Drosophila melanogaster: one gene and its partners. The protein of the gene in region 4 interacts with the protein of the main gene of each other region in a pairwise test. Each region holds a gene or a part of one and is shown on either strand. Other genes may lie near its edges. The genes, in order: ksh, Argk1, Eglp4 and Cpr50Cb.

Region 1 (2,784 bases), on a different chromosome or scaffold from region 4:
GCGTGGGCTTGCTCTTGCGGTGGCGCCGATGATTCTTTTGCTGACGCCGGGTTTCGCCCACCACCTCGGCGAAGGCGGTGTTGTCCTGGAACTGCGGGTGCTTCTTGGTGTGCTTTAGAACGTGCTCGTAGATGAGCAGCCGCTGACTCGCGTCGAGTCCTGCCTGCAGATCATCAAAGGAGGCAGCAGGAAGGAGGCGTCGTGCTCTTTCGGTGCCCACAATGCCCTGAATAGTCGAGTCATCGAGCTGGATGCTAAAGTCGGGATTGTTGCTGCATGACGCCGGCAATGGCAATGGCTCTAACACCTCCGATTTAGTTGCGCCGTTTTTGTCCTGTGGTCTGTGGCTACCCGCCCCCATCACCCCGCGCTCGCTCCAACCGAAGCGCTGCAGGATGACGTGGAGACGCCTCCTGCTGGCTGTCACAAAAAGACGCAGCTGTTCTCGCTTCTCGTCCACATCTTCGCCAGACATTTTTAGCCAGCGCGAAACAGAACAGAACAGAACAGCAAGTGTTGGGAAAGCCCGAAATGTGCGGCCAGTGCTGCAGAACGCAGCGTGTATTTACAGTCCTAGAAAGTTTGGAATATCTAATCTATGGTGCCATTCGGCTCCTGGAGGGGATGCGGGATGCAGGAGCTCAGCTCCAAAAGAGAACGGTGAAGGCCATGATCAGGCAGGCGGCTCCTACCCACGGCGACTTGCGCTCCCCAATCCTTGCCAGCTTCCAGAAGGTGCCCATGAATCTGCAAACAGACAGCAGACGAGTGTTGAGTGTGGTAACAATCAGTGGACTGGTCAGGGCGGGAACGGGCACCTACCCGGTCTTGTTGCGGTCTATCAAGCTGGGGAAGAGCGAGCGCAGGTAGGCACAGGTGCAGATCAGCAGCAGGATGACCGACAGCAGGCTGTGGAAGTTGAACAGGGCGCTCTGTGGAGGGAAACGGTGCTAAGTGTACGACGGAGGAGTATCGGTTAGGTGAGCGTTTCAAACCATGATTTAGCAAATCGAAATCCGTGCTTGGCGATAGAATAACAACAAGCGGTAAACTAGTGACGTGCCAGCCGCTCGGCGCAGGCGAACTGGTTCCAAAACTGGAATCTCACGTTTCGACTGATTCGATAGGTGGTTAATCAACTGTTAGAATGATAAGGAATGTTACAATGTTTAGGAGTTAATATAAGAATATATTTATATTAAATACATATTTTGGCGACCTACTTCCATTATCTGGGATGGACATTGGATAAATATTTTACAATAGAAAGTAACAAGCTCTTAGCCAAGTTCCCACAGGGAGCATAAAAACGCCATAGGAAGTATTGAAAAGTGCAAGAGTTTACAAAAGACATCGTATACAAAAAAACGTAAGCTTAATTTCGATAGTATCGGAACTTGTATTGCAATCCAACCGTGGGTCAAGTAAATGAAATAAGATAAGACTTTGTTTCAATTAACGTTGGCAGTGGAGCTTCCCCCAATTGAAATATGTGCCAATGGAATCGGGCTATTAGGTCAAGTGAATTCAATCGACTGGCGCGGAACAGCAATCGATGGGTCCACACTTATCGCACATAGTATCGCATAAACATCGACGCAGTGGGCCACCTCTAGCAATTTGTCTGCAACTTCTAATTCGCTGCGGGTATTTTTTTTGTGTTTGTTGTTACATATAATCCGATCAATTTCGATCGCCCGCTTGGCAAATCAGTGTCTTGCTGTTCCGATTGGTGAGCTTTGGCCAATTCTCGGCGAGCGTCAGTAAATCGTTCGATTTGGCTTTAAGTCCGCCCGTGCTTTTGCGTTTTCCTTGGCTCTTTTCTTCATTTTTGTGGCCCGTTTTCGTTTTCCACTTGGTATCGCGAGGGGATGAAGGAGGGGAGCAGGAGCGGAGAATCCCGACCGAGTGCATCCCCAATGTGTGTGCGTGTACGTCTGTGAATACGATGGTGCTGCCAATGCAATTGTAACTGAGCGCGCTCATAAAAATCAAAAGTATATTTAGATATACATGTACATATATATAATAATCGGATACGTTTTCTCATTGCCCCCCCTGTCGGTGTGTGTGCGTGTGTATTTAAATCAGTAATACAGTGTGTGTGTGACGAGCGCGCTGGGTTTTGTTGTTAAGTGCGAGTGAGTAAGAGAGAGGGAACACGAGCGAGACAGCAGCCGGAGCAACAGAGAGGCAAACAGGAACTGCAACAAGAAAAACAATAACATTCTGTGGCAGCAGCAGCAGCGATGACTTCCAGTCGCTGCACTGGCAAAGCGGTAAGTTCCCGACTGCAATATTAAGCTAAGCTATGATCCGCGAATCGGTTCCTTGCATGTGTATTTATGTAAGTACACACACACACCCGCACGCGCGCCAAACACACGCACTTGCGTGTATCGTTGACGTCGGCGATTACAGCACTGTTAGCTGCTAACAGCACAGTGACGGCCACTCGCATAGATCCGCGCCAAAGTTATCGGAGTGCCCCACTCGAGGGGCGGTAAATCGTGAGTGAAAAGTGTAAAATACAAACAGTATATGCTCTTTTAACCCCACCCCCAATTTTAAAGTGCTACGGTTTAAAGTGCTGCGAACCGGAGGTGAGTTGCATTATTATATCCTCTTCCAGTGCTTTCATGACACATTCACCCATGGACCTACACCCGCGAACACCAAAACACTACGCACATGCGCAGAGCGGCCACCGACACCGATAACACACCAATGCAATGCAAAAAAGTCGCGCTCTAGTGTGCGCTCTTTATTTTTGTTTTTAGTTTC
Region 2 (4,846 bases), on a different chromosome or scaffold from region 4:
AAGAAAGCTGTGATACAACAAGATCCAACAAAAAGGGCAAACGACAACCGACAACACACAAAGATAACACCAACACATTAAACTACAAAAACAACAGACAAGCCAATTCGAAACGTGTGCGACCAACAAAAGTATGTTAACAACCTTTCCGGAACTAAGAACCAGTATAAGTACCGACCGGACCATCTGAAATGAAATGGCCAACGAGAAGAATTCAAAATGAACTATAGGAGATCGGATCAGATCCAGTAGTAGCTAGCTTAGCGGGTTAACGAAGGACGAACGCGGGGGAACCAAAGTTTTGAACCGAAGTGTTTGAGTGAATCAACAGCGTGCGGAATTAGATTGATATTCCAGTCAGGATGAAAAGTGAAGATGAGAATGATTCAAATGTTAAATTATATATCGATATGTAGTAAAATAATACACATACAAAATGCACATAGCTTAAAATATATGAAAGCAAGCGTTTTATTCAAAGTCAATTTCCATTTGATTTGCAATGATTATGTTTTGTGCAAGATTTTAAAGCTTAATCAACCGAGGCCAACAGCAGTTTGTGTGGCATATGCAATATCATTACAATGTAAGACAACCAAGATATATAAACCAATTAAAGCGTAGCAAACAAAATGCATTCAATTGAAAAACCAATAAAAAATGTTTGAAACTTAAATCAAAATTGTGCTCCTAATTATTTACGGAAGGGGCTCGAAAGTTATCCTTTTCAAGTGCTTTAATCTTTATTTTCGTTGCATACTTCATGGGTTGTGTTATACAATATTTAGTGCTGTAGGCCGAAGGTAGCCGATTAAAAGTACATAATTCGTGATAATAAAAACTTTTTGTCAACAAAAACAGAACACCCACACTCGCAGGAACTTCCGCTGAGCAACGCAAGCGCTCCAGGATGTTTTCGAGCTTTTCTCAGTCCTTGAACTTTTGACCTTGTTTCTGGTCGCCTTTCTCGCTGCCGCGGTTATGTAAGCAGCTGTACGTATCATTATGCAACCTGGTCCACGGGATTCACGGACTCTGTGCGCTTGCCATTGCATCTTTGCCGTTGCAGTGGCTCTCAAACTGCAGAGTCTTCGGCGAGCGATAAGACCCCAATCATCATCACCCAGGCCAATTAAGTGGGCTTTGCAAAATAGATAGCGCTGTTGAATGAATGACTGAACAGTACGCTCGAGTTTATTATCTGGATTTATTTGCCCACGACAGACAACCGGCGAAAGGCGTCAGCAGCGCTTTTTCGACCAAATTTGATAGTTTTGGCCTGGGCCAAACGCTGCAGTAAGCAAAATAAATAGTAAACATTGAACTGATAGTGCCAATTGGAAAAGTGACTCGTCCAGTGCCCAAAAACTGTTTCCGAAAATTCTTTTCTTTTATTGATTAGGCAGCCTTTTGACCAGGTTCAACGCGATTATTGACACATAGCGGTGGCATAGCGTAAGCCTATGAGTAACATTCCGAATCGGAGAGTACACGGAAATAAATATTGAAATCGTGCACAGAGAAAAATAATTAATTAGTTACAGAAAATTCATAGATTTACTATTAGTTATTACTACATTGAAATATCTACATTTAATTATTTGCTAGTGTCCTCTAATAAATATGTATATCCTTTATAGTAGTTAACTCTGAACCCTCTCTGTTGGAATCTGATTAAAGTCTTCTAAGTTTTTTTCGGGTGTACCTGGCACAGAACCCGTGGGTTCGTTGGGAAACGAATCTCGTGAGAAAAGCTTCGTCGCAAGTGCAGCCACAGCTAGGAAACATTGGCGTCGGCGCTCTCCGTGCTCCCCATTCTCTTTGGGGCTCTCTCAGTTGGATGCCGTCGTAGCCGTAGTCTCGTCGCTTTTGCCGCCAGTAGAGCAGTCGATTTTCGCACGGAGCACGACAGTCGAAAAAAACTTGAAAGAAGCATTCAACAGCAGAAGAGTGCCAGTCGAGAGAAAATTAATTTTGTACCTTTACTCAAAATCAAACAACACACAATCGAGACCAGTCCTCGATATTTGACCAGCTGTGAAGCATTTAAACGAAACGAACCTTTTGATATACGAAAAAATCGAACGGAAAACCCTCCGGAAAAGCACTTGCAACTTTTTCTAGTCGTTTTATTATCCAACACAGGCACAAAAGGTGAGTGCACGCAGAAGGGGTCATGCTGCAAGTCCCCAGTTGTTTGTTATGTGTGGCATGCTGCAACAGTGAATGAGTGTTATGGGAATGAGTGTTCTTAGGCACCACCACCCACCCATTTTCCACGCCCCAGCCACCCACTCATACGTTTGCCGTGCGATGTGACGTAACTGTCAGAGTCTGAGTGTGCTATTACCATCGCAGATTGCTCATACGCCGCGTGTGCAAAAGAAAACAAACGCAGACGGAGCTTCATGGTGAATTTTGCTTGCCTTTGCTCAAATCCGAGGGATAAACAAAGCTCAGGGGACTGCAAACAGTGCGCAAAATAATCATATTTAATTGATCGATGGCAGCACTATCTAAATTTAGAACCCTTTCGACCATTGGGCGCCATCCGGTGCACAAAAAGTTCCCCTTTTTCCGAATTGATCTGCAGTGCACAGAGGAAAATTTGCAATTTGTTTGCTTGTGAGAATACATATTAAATGTTATGACATATCTTAAAAATAAACTTTGCAAACCAAATACTAGGCAGGTGCCTCAAATATTTCATATAAAGAAACTTTCATTTATAACTTTTTAATTGAGGCAAACTTTAATAATGTTGGCGTTAGTAGGCTTCAATTGGGGAGGAGTTTAAATAAGAAATTCAGAAATTCAGAAATCAAATTTATGACAAAACATTTTCATTTTCCCATTTATGAGGTTTTTTCTGTGTACTGTTTCCCATCTCTGGCCGTTTGCCCAAAAGTCTCGACTTCACGTGCCTCGGCGCTCAGCGTTCTGCGAATTTGGCATTCTGCATTTTGCATTTGCAAACCCATGCGCGCTTTTGTTTATAAATAAACCTTGAATAATGCCGGCATATATTCACTGCTGTCTTTTCGCCTGTTCAACTGTTTTTTTATCTGTGTGCCTTGGGTCTTAATTGAGCTCTGGCTCTCTGGAACTTACTTTTCTGATGAGCGCCTCGCTCGATTGAGTTTTTTTTTTTTGCATTGCTTGACGGCGACGTCATTTGTTGCGCTTTTCGAGGTCGCTGGGTGAATCAGATTCAGTGCCAGTCCAACAAGTGCATGTGGTGTGGAAATTGCCATTTATAGTCCAATTAATTCGTATACATTAGCGGTCAAATTGCTTTGAAAATCACTTAACTATTTACTCATTCGATCTTCTCTCAATTTCAGCTAATACAAAATGTTCGCTTTGTGGTATTTAACTTTTGCTGTCGATGAAATACGGTAAGTGCAAAAGGGGTTTTCCACAGTTTGGCAAGCACTGCTGTGCCCCCCACAGGGCGGATGAACGTTTTGTGTTGCCTACTTTTCGGCTGGGTAGTGTTAATGGTGAATTGTAGTTTGGGGGCGTAATGAGATCCTTTTTGGAGTTAAGCTTAAAAATATTCTGCAATTCAGAAAAAGGTCTAAGTACGTTTTAAATGAAAAGTTTCTGGTATGTGATTCGAGCTTTGGGGGATTGGGTAATACAAATAAATTTACTGGCTTTTAATGGTTATGCAATGCTAATAACAACACCTTCACCAAGCAAAGCTACTTTCTTGCATTTCATAAATCTTGGCGATAACAGTAGTCGCACTTTTGGGACGCAATCATTGCAAACCCGATAATCTTATCGCTATCAGTTGTTGAATTAGACCAATTTAGCTCTACGTTTCCGTGATCGTTATGGTTCGAAGGTGCTAATGCGACTGTGTGTATAATTTTCCTGCATTTGGCAAGAAAGTTAGTCACCGAGCGGTGTCACATGATGAACTATCTGTCCGTTTTCCCATCTCCCACTCCCCCGATCTCGTCGAATACCCCAGCCCATAACAACCGGCTTTTGTGGCTCTAACTCTCATTCGTGATAAGTGCAATCGGCTGATCGCACACATTCAAACATTCTCTGATTTGCACATGTGCAAAACAAAATTCGCATTTTTTTGGCAAAAAAATAAAGAAAAAAGCGTCCAGTTGTTATCTGCCGGCAATTAGCGTAATAACAAAAGTGATAATTGAAGTTTGGAGCGGTATTAGTTTTTTTCGTTCTCATCCATACAGCCGGCATTTGGGGCCGGTATTTTGCCGATTTGCCGATTTTATGCCGGGTGGAGCTCGTTTGTTTGCTTATCAATTTGCCGCACGAGTTTTTCGTCAGCTATTGCCGTTTTGGCCTACGTGACAAGAGAAATGACGACGCCGGCCCAAAGAAATGGGGGAGTGGAGAAAGTAATTTCGTAACTGGGGAAATGGGTGGGAAATAAGAAATTGTGGTTACAGTTCTAAATTACTGCCATTTGTGGGCATTAAAGCACTGAAACATTTGCGTCTAAGCAACACGCCCACCAATAGGCTAACGCCTTTTGGCAAAGTACAATAAATAACTGGCTCTATTTTGTTTTCTTATCTATAGGGCATTATAAAAGAACTATGATTAACTCTATAACAAAAGCTAGAAAGTGCAGTATTTTCATACTTTTCAAATTTAAATCAATTTCAAAAACCAGGGCTGCCTTAGATCCTTCCAGTGTGACTCTACGAACTACTAAAAGGCTTCATTTACTTTTAATTATATTAAAATGCATATGATTTACTGCAATTACTGCATATTGAAAAATCGTTATTTGCGACTATATTTGTTTTCAAATATTTATCGAAATGTTATGGAGTATAGGGATACACCAATGATT
Region 3 (3,493 bases), 9.8 Mb from region 4:
TAAATTGTTATTATTTATTGACGATCCAATTGTTATTGAGACACATAACTACGCAAATTGCGTGCAATTTGATCGACAGGCGTGCCGAGATTTGCCGTGATTTGTTTGCCACATTGCGTGGTAGCCCGATTCACGCAACGCATCCTCAATTGCAGCAATTGCAATTGATAGGAATCGAAGCGACGGTGGTAATTGATAGTGTGCCACTCTGCTGTTATCAATACGCAATATGCCGCCTGCTTCAATTGCGAGCGCGTCACGCACTTGCACAGCATAACAGTGTTATGCCCACCGCCCACCGACCAACTACACTGAAAATAATTATGGGGATTTTCGCTATCAATTACAGTTTAGTGCTAAGTTTGAATGACACGCAATGAAAATGTCGTATTTTAGGAACTATGGTTACTACTAATTCTAGCAATCATTGCTTAGCAGATTTGCCTTTCTCATGGCAAACAAATAGTAAGAAACAAGTTAAATGAAAATGATAATTTACTTAAAAAACAAATGTAAGGACCACCTTTAATATTATAATTCTCATAAAATGCTGTGAATAAGTCGAATGAATTCGATAGAGCAAAACCAGTATGTCAGTTGCACACCAAGTGTTAATATCTAACCTTGTTTCCATGGAATATCATCCGTATTGTTTCTACCATTTTATAATGATTTAAGCCAGGTGACTGGTAAAGGAAGAGTGGGAGCGAGAAGGAGCATCGCTCCAGAGATAATCGCAAAAGCGAACGAGAGCAGCGAATGAGCGTTTAAGATGCTCATAAATTCTGGACACTTGACTTTTTTATGCTCACCAGTAGGATTCGCTAATTTCCACGCCTTTGTGTGTGTGTGTGTGTGTGTGTGCTTGTGGTCGGTCCCCTTCATATGTGTGTGTGTGTATCTGTGTGTGTTGCTGCTCTCTCACAGGGGCTAAAAATGGGCTTTTGATTTACGCAATATTATATAGACACAGATATAAATATTTGCCTATGGCTACTCCACCGCCTCAGATTGACATTGACAGTCGCGCTGCCGCTTTGTGAATTTTCACCAGCTACGGAAAAGATTGATTATATAGTGCGATCTCAAAGAATTGGACAAGTGTCAAAATGAGCCACGAGATTCGGTAATTATCTGGCACTCGAAACCAAAGAAATTCAAAAAACAAAAAACAAGAGTTCTGGCTACCAGAAAGAGGGATTTACCAATCACAATAAACGGATTAATTCGCAACGTAGTGAACTCCAATTGACTCGAGTGGCGCTCAGGCGATAAGGTTGAAAAAGATTGGTTATTGTTTTATGGCCATGTCGTGATTTGATTCGCATTTTTTCGGCCATTTATCTATAAACCCAATTGACAGCCGAACGGCAATCACAAGTCTACTATATTTAGTACACGGCTACTTCATGTCAGTCCAGCCATCGATGGCATTCCCGCAGCAGGCATCGTTTGTCGGATCAGCAGCATAAGTTGTGCTTCCAAAAAAGGGTGTTTGGAAAATCGATGCCAAGTCAATGAACCTCGAGCAGCAGGGGATGGATCCGCAAGGGGTGGAAAACCAGCAGGAAATCGTCCAGGCAGCCGAAGGAGAACAGCAGTTGCAAAGGTCTAGAAGCTTGACAAACTAACTACAAAGTTGCACAATAGTTGAGATTGTAGAAGTGTGTCGCGGGGATTAGGTGCAAATCGAGGAGGGCTTTGCGAAACGATAGGATGGTCTTAGATAGGATATGATTGATGAAGTTCCTAAGCAGGTCTACTTAGAGTCGAGAAAGAGATGGACGATGGCGTGCGACAGAGAGGGTAGCTCGCTTTTTAGTGTGGCATTATTCAAGCGCTTCTCTGACCATTTCAGTTGCTGTAAGGTCTTCAAAATGAAGGGATCGACGCTGGACAAAATCTCCGCCTTCCTCGGCGAGCTCATCGGCACCGGCATCCTGGTCTTCCTGGGCTGCATGGGTTGCGTGAAGACGGACCTCTTTCCCAACAACCATCTGCAGATTGTGCTGAACTTCGGCTTCGCCGTCCTCATCGCCATCCAGTGCTTTGGCTGCGTCTCCGGTGCCCATCTGAATCCCGCCGTGACCGTGGCCGCCTACATCTACGAGATGGTCACCCTGCGCATGGCATTTGCCTACTTCGCCGCCCAGATGCTGGGCGCCTTCATCGGCTACGGCCTGCTCATGGTCCTGCTTCCCTCGCCCACACTTACGGTGGGCGCTGGGCTCTGCGTGACCTTGCCCCACACCAGCGTAACCACGGGCCAGGCCCTCGGCATCGAGTTCGTAATCACCTCCATCCTGGTCATCGTCTGCTGCGGAGTGTGGGATCCGCGCAACTCCAAGTTCCATGACTCCGTGGGCATTCGATTTGGCCTGGCCATCGCCTGTCTCGCCTGCGCTGCCGTAAGTTAAAGCGAACAGTTGGCTAATCCTTACCTGCCTCGAAACGGATTATTAACCTCGTTCCCTACCATTGGTTTTAGGGTCCCTTCACCGGCGGCAGCATGAACCCGGCCAGGTCGTTCGCCCCCGCCCTGTGGAACAAGCACTTCGAGAGCAACTGGATCTACTGGCTGGCCCCGCTGAGCTCCTCCGCCATCACCGCCTACGCCTACAAGGTCGTCTTCCGCCGCGAGGTGGTTGAGGCGGAGATCACCTCCAATGAGAAGCTGCGGCAACTGGAGGACGTCCAGCTGTCGTAAGGCCAAAGACATTGCTGTAGGAAAAGCCCTAACTAATTTAGTTAATATCTAAGATGCCGAATTTTAAAATAATGCATTCGTTGTACGCTAATGTTAGCAGTGTCTTCACAAAGTGGCTCGAACGTTTCAAAAGGCGAACCAAGTGCACACACTTACATAAGCCCTTGAAACGATAAACGTCTTGGTGAAAACACTAATTGCCTTCAGAAATAAAGAACATCGAGATTTTTAATCTAAAACCAAAACAAAACAAGTAAATTATTTTTATGGTTTTAAGAAATTCTACACAAGATATTGGTAGTTATTTGATACCTGAAGTTCTGCTCTTCTGGGCCATCTTAAAACATGTTGAGTCCATATTATCTAAAAGCTTTTCATTCTTCAATAACGAGGTATTTGCTTTGATTAGCTCTAAGTAACTTCCGGGCTTAAAAATACCAATAAGCTTTTTCCAGGAATCGAAAGTGAAAAAAGCCCATCAGCTTAAGCGGTCTTTGGAAAATCTGTTCATAAGATATTCGAATATCTTAGTACCTCCAAATCGACCAATCAAATGGTGGCTAAAAAACGTTATCAGCAGGCTGCGAATGAGACGCGCGTATCAGCCAAATAAAGCCAAAATATACCAACAATATGCAGTTATTGTACGTTACGTACTCCATTCGGGTCTATAGTCCGTATACGAAGCACAAATGATATATGTGGTTCTATGTGGTTTAAAGGGGACTATGTGCTATGGGTGATATGCTAATGCTGGATTTGCATCACTCTTCTGGAATTTCTGGA
Region 4 (4,584 bases):
CAGCTCAAGTGTCACGGAAATCTAAAGTTAAAAGTAACCAAAAGTTGTTCAATTACTTTTCACAGCGGTCCATTGAAGATTGCCAGCAGGTGTAAGCGGCGCTGATAGAGGTAACATCTTAGGTACACGAAATGTTACCTTGGAAAATGGGTACCAAACTAATAAAATCTAATAAAATTGCTTATAAAAATAAGATATTGAGATATTAGAGTATCTTTAAGATTGCAGCTATTGAAAACTAATACCATATCTAATATTACAAATATATAATATTATATTAATAATAGTTTTAGTCATAGCCCAGTGTAATTGGTAATAACATTTCGATTTTGGTACAAGATTTTCGCATCACTGATTATAAGATGGGTTGATTGTAAGTGTAGCTATTTTCGATTGATTGCTCCCCATAATAATTTCAATATCTAATTTTAATATCGCACGCACGCACACATCGCCACCTCGCAAGTGGTCAATAAAAATGTGAAGAAACTCTGAAATCAGTCATCGGATTGCTTTTAATTGTTATTTAATCTCGGCTCGTACAGAGGCGCTGTGATACATTCAAGGTTAATTGGTTATGGGATGGGATTTGAGGCCTGACGGAAGAAAAGGAGCCATGCGGTTGATGTTGGTTGGAAGGAGGAAGTTGGCCCAAAGGCACTCGACACGTCTGCCAGCCTTGTGCAATGGCCAATGGATGAGTTTCGGGGCCTCGGCTACGGATCTTTGGCATGAGCCTCACGTCATAGATTGCATTTTGGCAGAGGTGCTGCGGGAAATTGGGACGCCACATGAACACGTTTGTGCAGCTTGTGCAATTTTCCCCGGGCAACCGCATCACGTACTTCTCACCAAACTTATTCTATGTTCTGATGCTTTCCCAAAGGCCAAATGGCAAAAAAAAAAAAAAGAAGAAAAAACAAACAAAAATAAATATATAGATATTTCGAAAAAGGGCGACTGTATCTTTGGAGGCTAAAACGAAACCTATCATCTGACATTCCCAGTGACATTTTCGTATCGTCTCGATGGCAACTGCATCGCCCGAGGGCCCAGACTTCATAAAAGCTTGGCTTAAATATCAAATTTGGCCGAGTATTTAATGAAGTCATTCGGGGCGTTGCAGGCTCTCCACTCGAACTCATCTTGTTATACATCCGCCCGAGCTTCATCATCATCGTGCCAGCCATTCATTTATCATCTCGTTACCCATCATCGTAATGATCGTGCCACGGCGATGATCTGCAACATTTTTCACCACCTCAACACCAAGACTTGGCCAAAACGGTGAGAGCAACGCTGCGCTCTCTTTGGGCCATTCTGAGAGACTCGTGGATGTGGATGCTCTTGGCTCCAGCTCCACGGAGGCAGATGATCTAGAAGTTAGGCGCTAGACTTGCCTCAATTGTTCAAACCGCTTTTTCGTTACTTTTAGGTGCAGTTGGCAACGCGAACGCCGCTGCTACCGCCGCTGCCGCAGTCGCCGTCGCCGCCGACGTCGCTGCCAGCGTCTTTGAGCGTTTATTATAAAAAGCAAGCGCATCTCCATTGTCTAACCTAATTCAAAACGTTCGTGTACTTCGTGCGGTTGTCTAGGAAATCAATCTAGCCGAACCTAAAAAGATAAAACCACCTCCTCTTTAACTGAGGCCCCCTCCTAGTTGAGAAATCCAACCGGTGATAAAAAAATAAAACCCTCCCCCGCCCGGTGAAAGTAAGAGTTAATACAACTATTGTGGCAAGCGAAGGACTACAAATTAAATAGTGTGCAATAATCATAAAAATAACACAAAAGACACTCGATTAACTCGAAACAATATAAATGAAATAATTGACAACTCTAATGAATTTAATTTAATTCAATTCAATTTCAACTTCAGCCAGCGGCGTTTGTGGATACACTACTTTTTGCCATCGTCTGTGAACGTAAAATCGAAACTCAACTAACAAAATGATGTCCTTCAAGTCGTTCGTCCTGCTTGTGAGTATTTATACATACGTACATAAAACAAGGACATGTATTTCTGGGCCTGGAAAAAAAAAACATAGCTAAGCCTACATAAATCAGTTGGCCAAACAAATCATATGAGATTTCGCAGGCGTGTCCTTTGGCTAAAGCGAAACTATATATGTATGTATGTTTGCATGTATGTGTATGTGTGTGGAAAGGCCAGCAAGCTAAGCTTGTTATATGTCAAATTTGTTTATCGCTGGCAGGGAAAAATGACCCGTGGTCACTCAGTGTCCTTTTTCGTCTACAATGTCATTTTTCTGCTGCGGCTTTTGGGGAAAGTTTAAATGAGATTTGCTAGGAGAACTGAAGGCAACTACCCATCAAACTGGTTGTTTCAAGTGCCTGGCAAACTGTTTGCCTTCCTTTTTTTTCGTTTTTTTTTGGTAACACTTGCCGTCAATGGCAACGAAAATGATTGCATAACTTGCCACACGTCTGCCACAGAGCCTCTCATCATCATCATCATAATCAAAACCCAAGTCCACACACACACACACACGAAAGTCAAGTGGCGAAGGGGCCAAAGTAACCCCGCCGAATCGAACAAATTGCAAATAATCAAAGACACTTAAGTGCTCCACTCCGCTCTGGTTAATATATATATATATATATACATATGTACTTGTACGTACTCCTCCATGGATACGCATTCAATATTTGGCAACATCTGCGTTTGCCAAGTGCCACGTAAAATACGCCCCAAATCTAAGCAATACTCCCTGATTGTTCCTAACTAAACACTTGAGTTTCGGAGAAGGCTAAAAGGTTGTAAGGCGGAGGACACATGTTGGTAATATATTTCCCCTTTCGTATTTAGGCATCATCTGAGGAAAATTGCAAACCTTTTTGCTCCCCTTGAACAATTGCAAATATATAAGGCTCCAACTTGACTTTATTTTGTAGGCAAACTTTTCTTAGCTGGTGCTAAATTGACACAAGTTTTTTTTCATCAAATTGTTGAAAAATATACTTTATACTTTACTAATATAGTTTCGTAAAAATATTTATATAATTTGTTTCAAATTGCTGTAAATTGACACAGAAAGAGTTGTGCAACTAAGAAATTTCTAGGTGATCCAAAATCCTTTCTGTTACCTATTAATTTACACATTTCGCTTTGGAAATTCTCCATATTCTCACAATTTTATTGTGAAATTACAGTATTGAATACTTTTCCTGGAAGTCCAGAAGTTAACCCGCAATCAAGAGCACACTTGTAAACTGCGAAATACTTTCACTTGTTCGCCATTGTTAAAGCATTTTGAATCGCGTTTTGGGACGACGCCCTTAAGCAGGCAACAAAATAAAACAGACGCGAGTTTCGCTGGCTGCTCCTTGATGTCCTTTTATTTTTTGTAACTGGGGCGTGTTAAATTGTTGGTGCGACACTTGGATGCAATGCAGGTCCAGACGGCAGACCACACTGTCTGGAATCCATCCAATGTACCTCCGCCCATTCCGCGTTACGTGAGCACACAGGAGAAAAATTAGATTTCTTCAAAAACCAAAAGTGTCTAAAAAGATTGAGATATAAAATTATATTAATAGGTACTCAATGAAAGCCATTCAAATGTATGAAGATTTTCAAAGAAGACATAATCAATATCTAATTAAAATTTAATTGGTCATACATCATGTAATTACTCGAATGAATTTTTACGATTAACGTAATCGTGATTAATGGACGAGCATAACTAGTAGTTAAAATAAACGCAATATATATGCAATGTTTGAGGCCAAAGTGTTAGATCTTAAATGTTCTTCTATTAGCCATGTTTTTTTTCAGCGGTTTTTCTCGCAGTGCACTCCTCCATCTCTGATGCGTCTGGTCTGCCAAGCAGATAACTTCCAAAAGGTACACCAGACGATAGCAAAGGAATAGAGTTTGAGAGCAGAGTGTAGAACTCCAGCCAGACGCGTGTAATTTGCCGCTTGTAACTTTTTGACTTTTCACCAGCGATTCTCCATTTCCCCAATGCCGCTATATTCCCCTTATTTTCTTCTCCTTTTTTTTTACCATTCTTGTTTTGGCCCGAACTGGGCGAATAACAGCAGGCACGGAAGCGTACCAAGCCAAAAATAAAAACCAGGAGCCCAACCACCCACTGCCACATCCGCCCACCAAAAGGCAGACACTCGATAGACAAATGGCCGCTGGCCAGTCGAGTGCACGGGCTTTTGAGAACATCGGGGCGAGCATGTTTTACATGTTAATTTCAGCCCGGGGGAGACTCAACTGGCCAACTACCCAGCTAGCCAACTATAGGGTACAGAGTACGAATACGTCGAGCACCCACACCAGCTAGTAATGCCCAACTGCTGCTGCATATTAATGCCCATGATTCCAGCTGCTCATTTTCGCACGCGAAAATTGCAGAACTGGTGGCAAAGAATTCGAGAAACGATTGGTAGCATTGACTGGCATTCATTCGGGCACGCTTTTGAATTTCAAATGACAAACCTAAAATATTCACAGTTTGATATTTGAGTCCGTCCGATGATGGTGCTGCTGCTGCTGCTGCTGCTGATGATGATGATGAGCTGGCAAAAGCCGAAAGTCGAAGCTGCTA

The links.
Region 1: the proteins of Cpr50Cb (region 4) and ksh interact in a two-hybrid assay, tested with the Drosophila melanogaster proteins (one large-scale study listed by BioGRID).
Region 2: the proteins of Cpr50Cb (region 4) and Argk1 interact in a two-hybrid assay, tested with the Drosophila melanogaster proteins (one large-scale study listed by BioGRID).
Region 3: the proteins of Cpr50Cb (region 4) and Eglp4 interact in a two-hybrid assay, tested with the Drosophila melanogaster proteins (one large-scale study listed by BioGRID).

What each region holds. Positions count from the first base shown.
Region 1 is NC_004354.4:19,493,905-19,496,688, forward strand, and holds ksh (kish), read right to left. Parts: upstream 1,089-2,784; 5' UTR 999-1,088; coding exon 996-998; intron 933-995; coding exon 823-932; intron 748-822; coding exon 642-747; 3' UTR 516-641; downstream 1-515. Other genes in the region: CG12204 (uncharacterized protein), read right to left, coding at 1-475.
Region 2 is NT_037436.4:9,063,016-9,067,861, reverse strand, and holds the start of Argk1 (arginine kinase 1), read left to right. Parts: upstream 1-1,834; 5' UTR 1,835-2,154; intron 2,155-3,344; 5' UTR 3,345-3,354; coding exon 3,355-3,398; intron 3,399-4,846.
Region 3 is NT_033778.4:23,607,047-23,610,539, reverse strand, and holds Eglp4 (entomoglyceroporin 4), read left to right. Parts: upstream 1-1,609; 5' UTR 1,610-1,733; coding exon 1,734-2,408; intron 2,409-2,488; coding exon 2,489-2,707; 3' UTR 2,708-2,948; downstream 2,949-3,493.
Region 4 is NT_033778.4:13,793,225-13,797,808, forward strand, and holds the start of Cpr50Cb (cuticular protein 50Cb), read left to right. Parts: upstream 1-1,552; 5' UTR 1,553-1,714; intron 1,715-1,880; 5' UTR 1,881-1,951; coding exon 1,952-1,981; intron 1,982-4,584.